Linked DNA regions of Bombyx mori. The protein of the gene in region 2 interacts with the protein of the main gene of each other region in a pairwise test. Links are inferred from orthologs where the notes say so. Each region holds a gene or a part of one and is shown on either strand. Other genes may lie near its edges. The genes, in order: brain tumor protein, pumilio homolog 2 and regulator of gene activity.

Region 1 (3,758 bases), on a different chromosome or scaffold from region 2:
AAGAATATTATAGGTCATTTTTTTACACCTTGGGTTACATTATTGGAGTTTTGGTAAGGATCCCTAATTTTTTCAAAAAAGATTATATATAGCCTATGTCACTCGGGAAAAGTGTAGCTTCCAAACAGTGAAAGAATTTTTCAAATCGGTTCACTAGTTTCGGAGCCTATTCAATACAAACAAACAAATCTTTCCTCTTTATAATATTAAGTATAGAAGTATAGATATATAGATTTCACCCCAAATTATGCCACGCCTTATAAATTTGAATTTCGCATTTAATAAGTTTTTTTTTTTTTTATCCGAGTAATTACCAACGTCGGAAATCGTAAAGTAAATCGCAACCTAATGACTACCGACCATACGCCAATCTATTTATAATCCCCCGGCCAGTGTCAGCGCGTTTCCATTTATCCGTTTATTAACCTTTTCAATCAATTAGCGCTTTATAGCTATATTGTAATGTGCATGTTAATTATGAACAGCCGGAGAGCCGTTTCTCAAATCAATTCTAGATCCGAACCGATTTGCCGAGCGTCACATCAAAACGCACGATGTTGTACGATTTTTTATCTTATGCGCAAACGTTAAGGGTGACGTTTGTCTGTTTGATTCGAGAGTCACGACCTTCTTTGTTCCGTGTAACCTTTAAAGGCGGAATGAGTCCTAAGCCTCATTAGGACAGAGACCGCGATTTAAAGGTTCTTGCATTAATTTGTTTGAAATGTTTTTTTAAATTTTAATTTTAATGTCAATATGAGTTTCATTTAAGTATTCCCGCCATTTGAATAACATTGAGTTTATGCACGATCGGGATCTCATTGTTGTTGTTTTTTTAATGTGGCAATTATCGTTCAAATATCGAAGGAGCCGTGGTCTAAGCGATAAGACAGCTCATGTACTTGTAGCGAGCGATACGACTTTGTTGATGTTCTAATCCCACAGGCGGGTATCAAATATTCTAATGAAAAAACGCACATATTATTATTATGTTCACAAAAGACTTCCATAGTGAAGGAATAATATGCAAAAATACATGATTGCAGAACAATTGAGACATGAACCTCAAATATAAAGGAGGGTGCTGGCATTCGCGTTATGATGGTCATACCCGATCCTGTAGACCGAATGGTAAACAGTCGACAACACGTCGTTACGGATCCTCCTGATCCATTAACGGTGCTTTTAGGTACCTCAAGCACCGGTCAGTTCTCGCCGAACCCGTCGCTGGCGACGAAGGGCTCGGCGAGTAAATGAACCCATAGACACAGTCCACTGAGTTTCTCGCCGGATCTTATCAGTGGGTCGCGATTCCGATCCCGTGGTAGATTCTGCGAAGCACTGCTCTTGCTAGGGCCAGTGTTAACAATACCTCTGATTTGAGCCCCGAGAGCTCACACGCTAGGGTAAAGCTGATATAGCTTCTTAAGGCTATCAGCATAGGTAGAAAAAAATTGTGATGCTCACGGGCTAACCACTTAACGGCGTAACTAACACGGTAGGCCGTGAGCTCGTTCACTCATCTGAGCAATATTATTTTTTACCGAAAACAACCTTACGTCTAATAACAAAAAGCTGAGCAAAAACAAAGGATATGTACCAATTAGTTTTCAAAGTCCGAGGCGCTTCTCACGGTAAGCCGAGACAAACTTCGGCCGGAACGGATTGATCACGTTTTTAAACTATCAAAGGCTGTTCCGATTCTCGATTACGGCCGTTGTGACGTAGGAACAGGCCTAAATTGTTACGTGACGTAACGAAGCCTTGAACAAGATACAATGCCAAAAAAAAACATGGTAACCGACACGCGACATTGACGGACCAACCACTTTTAAAAGTACGGACCGCCTTTGTCAACTGTCAAACTTGTGACCTTTTCGTTCTGAGCGAAATTAGTTTTTAATAATCAATAATAATTTTGTAATAGTGTGTGTGTGTTTTTTTAGTAATGACCGACTCATTCCGTTCGCGGTTCTTAGTTTAGAGCATCTGTTGAAACGGTTACATTTTGTTTTCGAATAAAGCCCCGGTCTTATTAACGTTATGAAACGGTGTCACAAATACGTTACTAAATTACTCTGAATAGTTACATAAGAGTAGTTTTAAGTAATACATAATCTTAATCCACAAGTTTCACTTACCAAAGCAAACCGAATCCGTGCATTAAAAAAATTAAATATGTTTTCTTCGTTTACTTATAAAAGACCTAAATTACGGAACACACACAAGAACAGTAATTTCAAAAAAGGAACTCACTTATTCTAAATTCGTACGTATAGTTAATAAAACAAACTAAGTAATTTTGGGAACAATGACTAGAATTCAAAAGCGCGCGGGAACACGACCGCTCGCGTCGACGGACGAATCATAACTGAATGCGAGGGTCATGTTTTCGAAAATAAAAAAAGTTGAGCCGCCGGTACAGGCACCCATACTTTACGGACGAGATCATTACAACAAAAAGAACCCTAAATATTATCGGTTCGAGCTAGTCGCTTCTCAAACTTGAACGCGCAGGTTTAATGCACTTTCCAGTACTCTTTATTATTCAGATATGGGGTCATTTAAGTTTACTAACTCTGGTTTTCCTTAGATACATCAGTACAAATCGAAGTAAATCGAAGTGTAAACTTTACAGAGTTTTTGTTAAATTTGACGACTTTAACTTTGTTTATTCTTAGCACGTTACTAGTATATTTTTACTTAGATCATTTATGTTGTTTGAATTCATGTTTAAGACGGATTTTGTGTTTACCAATATTATATTGTGAAACTAATGCATTGATGTAATAATGGCATTATAATTAGTCTTGAAAGAACTTGGATACGCGTGTATTTTATCAATTTTAACATTTAAAATTACGTAATAATTAAATCACTTCATGAAATTAAATTGGTTACTTAACCAACTGTTCGTGTTTATTTAGAAGATGCTACAAAAAAAAAAACATATTATATCGCTTTTTTCGTTCATTTATTCGTTTTTTTTTTATATATTTTTATTTAAGATATTTTGATGCAACTTTTTAGTCAACAATTTTAGCTATGCTTCTGATATTTCCAATATCTGAAGACTATTAGATCATGGTACTTATGGTAATGAGCAATCATTAATAACATATAAACAACCTGATGTAAGTTAAATGAATTTTCATTGACTCATAGTTTGTTTCATTGTATTATGTATTAATAAAATTTATTTATCTACCAATTTTTACATGCATTTATTTTTATATACATACGGTTTTGTGTTTGGCGAATTTACTTACATTTTAATGTTCTGACCGGTTTTCAAGGCGAACGGCCAGCGTTCATTGTACTCAATATTACGGACAGGCGAATAAAAATAAATAAATCTATATCATTAGATATAGCTTACGCAATGCTTTATCCGTTTATATACTTTTTACATTTTCTCACGTTCATCAATCAAATGTTCGGATTTAGGTACTATTCGTTTAAGATCAAATAGTAGAATTAATATTTATTTTAAAGGTTGTTTGGTGAGAAGATGAAAAGAAATGACTTGGAAAAAACATAATAAAACACATAAGTAGGATGTTGACATTAGAAATGTTGTTGGTGTATCTTCGATAAGTTTTTGATTTTCACTAAAAGCTTTGCTACAACAACTTGCTACTTTTTTTTACGACAAAGCATTTGAAACACTAAAAGTGTTAATAAAATTTATGAAACTAAAGGTTTTTTTTTAAACCAAATAAAATTTTATATCATGCGTATTATCATCACAAGTGTAA
Region 2 (3,658 bases):
TATTATGTTCATCGTCAAATTTAGTTCCACAAATGCGCTCTCTTTCATGTATTAGTTATTTCATGAGTTGGATGGGCAAGTTCGCGCCCCGGTGTAACTCGTTACCACCTTGAGACATGAGAGCGAACCCTCTAGTGTATAGTGTAAAGTGTCCCACCCTTCGAATACGTGACTACTTTACTAATAGACAAGATCGCCCGCGCTGCCCGTGCAAGATTCGATGCAATAACATTAGTAGTTTGTAGAGTAGAACTTCAATTTTCGATTTGAGCAACAACTCGTAGTATTCAACTGATTTTCGCCATTATCAGACGATGAGGACGCAAGACCAAGAAACAAATACATTTTTTTTATTGCCCTTGTAGGCAGACGAGGACACGGCCCACCTGATGGTGAGTGGTTACCGTCGTCCATGGACTTCAGCAATGCCAGGGGCAGAGCCAAGCTGCTGCCTACGGCATAATACTCTCCCCACAAGCCTCGTTTGAAGAAGGACATGTCATAGCGCTCGGGAAACACCGTGGAGGGGAGCTCATTCTAAAGCCGGATGGTACGTGGTAACAAAGACCTCTGTGGATGACCGCAGTGACTCCAGTTAGTATGGATGAACTCTAATACGGTGGCGGGCGGTGCAATGGTAAAAACGAGATGACGGTATCATCTCGAACACAATTCCTCAGAGAACTCCTGTGGTTAGTGCGGTACCTGGAGCCGTGCTGGTCCTGCGAGAACTCTACGATGTGGTTGGCGAGGTCGCGCAGCTGCAGGTTCGGGAAGCGGTTGTTGCGGAAGTCCTCGAGCAGACGCGAGCGCCCCGCGGCCGGCTTGTCGCCCACCAGCGCGCCCACGCCTCCGCTCACCAGCTCTGTGTGCAAACGCTCACATGTTACTACTGCTTTCACACTATACCTTTGTATGAGCAACGACTAACTTTCTTCGAAACTTATTCGCTCAGTACATCATAATTTGCTTATTATATTCATGATTATGCAAATCATTAATTAGTTAAAAGATTAAATATTTACATGAAGAAGCTGCGGTAGACTGGCCTCCATAATTAAAATATACATTTTATGCAACAATCATATTTACAAGTCGTGTATATGTATATGTACATGACAACGGTGACATAGGGGCACCACCGCTAACGATACCGACCTGAGATAGTTCCAACTCCACCGAGTTTGCTGAGTAGCGATGAAGACGAACCAAACATTCCATTAGAGGTGAGTCCCTGGGCTAAACTGCTCACAGCTCTGAAAGGAAAACGATAAAATACCTTCAGGAACGCAAACCAGACGAGTAAATTTTAGAATGAACAAATAGACAAGCTCGAACGGCAACAGGATTAATAATGTACAGAAGCGCAGATATGTACAGTGTGCGCGCGCGAACAGACCTGTACTTGGCGGTCTCGGCGCCGGGCGCGGCGGACACGGGCCGCAGCCCCACGGGCCCCAGCGCGGCGCCCAGCGGCGGGGACAGCGGCGAGGGGCCCCACTTGCGTGCGTACTCGTGCAGGGCGCCGCCGCCGCCGAACTCCAGCGAGTCCCGCCGCGCGCCGCTCGCGCCGCCTGTAACACGACATACCTCCGCGCTCCAACACTCTGCTCCTCCACTCTCCTCTACGTTCTGTACACGACTCGCGAACTCGGAGGCCTCGCGGGCGAGTGGCGACATCGATATGTACAAAACTTTACACTCTTCCACGTTTACTCATACCGGTATTACCTACTAGGTGCGTACTGATCATCAAATGTGTTTTTAAATAGTGTCTGCCACAGTAAACATGTATATTTGTGGAAGTAATAAATTGTTCGGATTTACTATACAGATTTGAATGTGTTATCATCATCTAAGTTCACATATTATTCGTCTTATTGGGTTAACAGCTTTGTGGAATAGTCGCTATCGGTAGCTGATGTTTTAGAATACTATAAACCTACAAGGAACCAAAAAGCACAAATTCTAATTTTTTTCTTAGAATGAGAAAAATGTGTCTAGTATGGCATGGAATTAAATTTATATTTATTGCTAACCTCCAACAAACAGACTAATAAAACAAAAGCGATGGAGACCAAATTAAATAGATTCCATTCTTCTCTAAGCTTCACATAATATTACTTTATTAAAATAAAGTTCAGTGTTTTTTGAGGGCCTAAATATTTTCAAAAATATTATATTTTATATAAAAACGCTATTACTTTGTGGATTGTATATTTGTATTCACATTATTCTATATTTTTCTTTAATGAGTAATACTGTATTCTTTCAAATATACAGACATGTTTGCCAGTGCCAAAACCAGACGGACATACATGTTTACTAGAGTCAAACAGAAATTTTGAATAAAGTCAATAAAAAAACCGGTTAAGTAATTTTAAAAATAGGATTTAGATTGTAAAATATTATAAAAGAAAAAAAAAGGCTTTATCTAGAGACCTTTTGTTACTACCACTAATGTACGCACCTTATGTTTACTAGCTGTACCTAATATTTTATTGATGGAGTGATTTTTTTTCTACTTAATAAAAGTAAAGTAAATCTTCAAAATTTTTATGTACATTACTGTTACTCGTATATACATAGTACATAAACTAATACATTTAAAAAATATTATGAGCATATGTAAATTTTTATGTTTTGCCGTCTACATTTACATTTGCCGCCGTCACTTGCAGTGAGAATATTATATAATAAAATGTATATGAGACACTTGTTATTTTAAAAGAAGCATAAGATGAAAAGGTCACTACTATCAACGAGATGTAGGTATTTGATTTTAATGTAAACTAAATTAAATACTTGTGCATATTAGTCGAATTCATTTTTATTTTGCAAGCAAACTATCATCACCTCTCTTCAATACTTGCAACTTTGTTAGAAGTTAAAGAAATCTATTTGGTAAGAGTAAAATTTAATATTTTCCTGTGTTTTCATTATTATTCCTTTTTCGAACTACTAAAAAACTTATACGAGGATTAAGCAAAATTTCATTCAAAATATGCTATGCATTTTAGACACACCATGCATCTGGAATTCAGTTTGGTAACTTTATGTACAAGATGAAAAAAAAGAAGTATCCCCTTGTGCACACTCACTTTTAATAGTCAGAAAAGATAGCGTTTATAGAAAATTTATGAAAAATTAGTTCTAATCGAACGTTTCAACGATCATAAATTATATTATAATATTTTTCTATAAAAAAACGAGACGCTCGCCATTGTTTGTGTGTAAAATGTACACAACAATCGAAGGCAGTGTAAATGTGAGTGAGCTAGTGGCGAGTGCGCATAAGTTTGCACGTGGTGTTTGTTACCTGGCGGCTGCGGCTGGTGCGTCTGTGCGGGGGCGGGGGGCGCGGCGCCGGCGGCGGGGTGTGCGGGCGCCGGCTGGTACTGGCGCGGGGCGAGCACGCCGCCCGGCGACACGAGTCGCAGAGGGGTACCGTTGCGGCCGCCCATGACCAGCGAGCCGGGGTCGTAGTAAGGAATCACGTACTGGCCTTGCCCGTTAACCTGCTGTTCGCCTTGCTGCGGAGTGAGCGGCCGTCGCGGTTGCTGAGCTTGCTGTTGCGCGGGTTGCGCTACGAGGCCGGGATATACTCCCCATGGCGCTGCGACTCCGTAATAAGGCGGAACTCCCGCGATTAACGCGC
Region 3 (3,758 bases), on a different chromosome or scaffold from region 2:
ATTTATATTTATCAGCAGAAAACACTAATTTGATTTTTAGCCATATACACAATTAATATTTTAAAATACTTACCATTGAATTAGAATTAGCTTGAGATAAAGTTGTTGGCATTGTAACCCTTCGGTCTGCAAAAGCTCGTTGACCAAACAACGTAGCTCTAGATGCCATTGATGGGGGAGCTCCGCCTGGCATTGCAGTTGAATTACGGCCAGGCGACAAGGCGCCCCCAAAAGTTGGTGTCACATGTCCTGAGACACTACCAACAAGACCTGAGCTCACTCTGCCTCCAACGCCACCAACTCCGCCACTAGCTAGGCTTCGAGGCACTTGTTGAAAATTCAAGTTTGCCATAACCTAAAAAAATAAGCCTTTTTACAATATGATATAATTATTGTAGGTAACATTGCCCTAAGCACGTCATTACGGATCTCCCGATCTATAAACGGTGCTTTTAGGTACCTTAAGCACCGGCCACCGTCCTCTCTGAACCTGCACAACCCACTGCTTGTGGCGAAGGGCTCAACGAGTAAATTAACCAATAAACACAGCCCACTGAGTTTCTAGTTGGATCTTCTCAGTGGAAGCTGAAATATCTCCCTCTGCTAGCCTCTCAAGGCTATCAGCATAGGTAGGGGAAAAGGATAACATCTTTATGCTACATTTACCGGAAACCTGACTTGTGCCTAGTGAATGCTTAGATTTAATTTAGTTTTGATCTAAAACATAAAACGTTTCTTAAGCAAAAATACCCATCTACTTGGTAAAAGTTCCTCTTAATAATATATAATAGATAAATGACTACACACAATGGACTATAATCATGTAGTGGACATATTTAATAATTTTACAGAGGTATTGTCAAGGAAGTGTGAGACGAAGTTGATGTAGAATAAAATTTATTCAGATTCATGCCTATTTCATTTACAATTTCAAATATTTAAATCGTGTTCCAATTTTATAAGCAGATATAATTTTTATTGCTCTTACATTATCAGTATCTGGTTCGTATTGTGATTTTAGAGTTCATTTATAAGAATAATTTTCACAATTTAAGTATTTTGCACAAGTAATTACAGTATGTTGACACAATGGTTATATTAAACGGAAAAGCAGTTAAATTCTGTGCCAATATGTGCAGAACCTCTGAATACAATGTTTGTTGTAAATCAGAAAATTTGTTATCAAGTTTGAGACAAAAGAGATCAATTTTGTGTGACTCAACTCTATGGAATATGGGCTATAAATATATAATATAAATAAAACTAATATTTAAATCATGGAGTAATCGGTTGTAAAGTAGTTGGAAATGTGAAAGAGAAAGTAGAAGGAATACTTAACTATATATGGAATTGCATGCTGCTTATTATTAATTTAAACTTTGGTTAAGTGTATGCATGACGTATGAGAGAGATGATAGTTGAAGAGCATCACAAAACTGTTTTCAGTTGAGCATATTATACAGTAGAGAGGATATGGAGAATGTATTAAAGATCAGTAAATGGCTTAGTTGCCCCTGTCAAACAATGGCGACAATTTTTGTTGTGATGTTGTTGGGCTCACTTTGAGAACGTTGTCAATATTTACCTATTATCAGTCCTTGTTCAACTATTTTATAAAGAATAAGAATGGTTCATAATCGCGTATACTCTGCCAAGATAAATATTTCCGCTTCGATGTAATAAACAAGATTTGTTGACTGTCCAATTTTGATGTTTTTTGTGCATTCAAAATTTTAAACACCAATATAAATGGTACATAAAACTGTCTTCGCGTAAAACGCTGCTATAAAACACTGTAAACTTGATACATCTTTACGTCACTGATAAATGTTTTAAAATTTTCATACGATTTCGCTGAACGCCACATTACCCTAAACAACAGGCGGCCATATTGTTAAAAGGTTGAAGAAGCAGACGGAAATTATCAAAAAGCTTCAAAACCAGGCCGTATGAATTAGTTTGTTAAAAAATAAAAATAGTTTTGACAATTTTATTAAATAGTTTAAATAGTATAAATCGTTTTGTCTCTTTATTATAGATCTGTCATTTAAAATTTATACTAATATTTTTAAGAATTTACAATAAAATTATTTAATTTACATTACTATACTACCCATACTAGTGCAATCCGTAGCATCGTTACTGTACATAAACCTGTAATACTGTACATAATACTGTGCTTAAACGTGTATTTGAGAGTTTTATAAGACTCTACAGCATAACTATAAGTAGCAAACCTGATCTTCATGAGTTTGGCTACTGTGCCTCGTAGAACTTCGTTTCTTCATTTCTTATCTTTGTTCAGAATTACTTTAAAAAATCTCTAAATTAGGATTAAAACAATTATTTTTTAACTTAAAGCCTTATTTTTTAAATAATCTAAACTTCACAACCATTATTTGAAAATTATAAACTACCCACCTCCCTTGTCTAAAACTAAACTATTCCTGCAAAGTGCCGGAAGCTTGGTGGATCATTCATCTTTCCTAATGATTCCGATAGGTGAACAGATGAATGGATCGGACGGTCTCATTATAATAAAACCCAACCAAAAAATATTTTAAACATAACTGAAAACGAGTTCGAGTCAGACATCTATTATCTTCCCTGAGGTGTTTTCTGTATCACTGTGAATACAACATTTCCGGCAGATTGGATGGCGTCTGAAAGCAATCTACGCACACATTACGTAGACTACAATCTAATGAAATTTAACTAGGTATATATAGCAAATATTTGATTCTTCGTCCTTTTCTAAATCTTACATTAGAAAATGAAAATTTTAAACAAGGAAAATGTATACGGTGTATAAGATTCAGATCTTCACGAATACTTGGATTTAGAAGCGATTCGTTAATATTTGAAGAGAACATCAGAACCTTTCTTTGAGGAAGCTGCACGGCGTAATAGCCCTCTTATCGTAGCCGCCGTAAATTACATTCCCGACCTATATGATGACAACGAACAATCGTCGTTGCCTTATTCGATCCAGGCCTTCGGCCTTCTTCAACCCAGTCTCAAGTACCCTCCACTAGCGTCGTAAAATCGAAGCTTAACTGAGAGTACTGAACCCCTATGACACTCACTGAGTTTCTCATTGAATCTTGATTCTTAACTGGTAGTAGATTCAGCGAAGCCAGAGCAGTGTTAACAATTTCTTTCAGGTAGAGGTCTGTGAGCTCGCCCACCACTGGCGTTGGTACAGATGGGTAGAAAATCGTTAAAAATACATTTTACCTAGTTCAAATTCACAATTTACAACAGCAGTTAAATTGTGGATTTCATTTCAAAACATTAACGAAAATATTTAAGGATCGGGTGCACATTGCTGTTATTGCAGATTTAACAAAGTTTCGACAACGGTCAGAAGACGGTCCTTCGGTGTGCTTAGTGCAAGTTTTTTAACTTCTCAATTGCGTAAAAGATCTCAAATTTGTATGTAGTGGAAACAGTGCCTCTGGCGGCAAACATGGGAACGCTATCTGATTCCAAAAATTTTATAATAGCTAAAAAAAGTTTATTATATCTTATTTACATAAATAGAACAAAATCAAAAAGTTTTTCTGCGTGCTTTATGACTAGCGACCAGAATACGGCCTCTGCCGACCTAGTTCTTATATCCTTTTCACTTACCGACATCGAGCAAAGAAGGATCGAGATGTATATATTGATTCATATTCTGAATATTTCAGAAAAAATTGTCTATGTCTGATCAATACTTTTTGGCAACACTAAGATCATATGATTGTTCAATAAAG

Evidence for each region.
Region 1: the proteins of pumilio homolog 2 (region 2) and brain tumor protein interact in a two-hybrid assay, tested with the Drosophila melanogaster proteins (2 studies listed by BioGRID, with this or other methods). The link is inferred for Bombyx mori from reciprocal best matches to the Drosophila melanogaster genes pum and brat.
Region 3: the proteins of pumilio homolog 2 (region 2) and regulator of gene activity interact in binary tests that used the Drosophila melanogaster proteins (3 or more experiments, as listed by UniProt). The link is inferred for Bombyx mori from reciprocal best matches to the Drosophila melanogaster genes pum and Rga.

What each region holds. Positions count from the first base shown.
Region 1 is NC_085120.1:10,288,313-10,292,070, reverse strand, and holds the start of brain tumor protein, read right to left. Parts: upstream 2,371-3,758; 5' UTR 2,165-2,370; coding exon 2,142-2,164; intron 1-2,141. UniProt on the Drosophila melanogaster protein: A NHL-domain family protein that functions as a translational repressor to inhibit cell proliferation.
Region 2 is NC_085121.1:13,327,087-13,330,744, reverse strand, and holds part of pumilio homolog 2, read right to left. Parts: coding exon 3,320-3,658; intron 2,818-3,319; exon of another isoform or gene 1,575-2,817; coding exon 1,400-1,574; exon of another isoform or gene 1,257-1,399; coding exon 1,159-1,256; exon of another isoform or gene 866-1,158; coding exon 706-865; exon of another isoform or gene 681-705; intron 1-680. UniProt on the Drosophila melanogaster protein: Sequence-specific RNA-binding protein that acts as a post-transcriptional repressor by binding the 3'-UTR of mRNA targets.
Region 3 is NC_085113.1:7,420,328-7,424,085, forward strand, and holds the start of regulator of gene activity, read right to left. Parts: upstream 2,648-3,758; 5' UTR 2,289-2,647; coding exon 2,238-2,288; intron 356-2,237; coding exon 74-355; intron 1-73. UniProt on the Drosophila melanogaster protein: Component of the CCR4-NOT complex which is one of the major cellular mRNA deadenylases and is linked to various cellular processes including bulk mRNA degradation, miRNA-mediated repression, translational repression during translational initiation and general transcription regulation.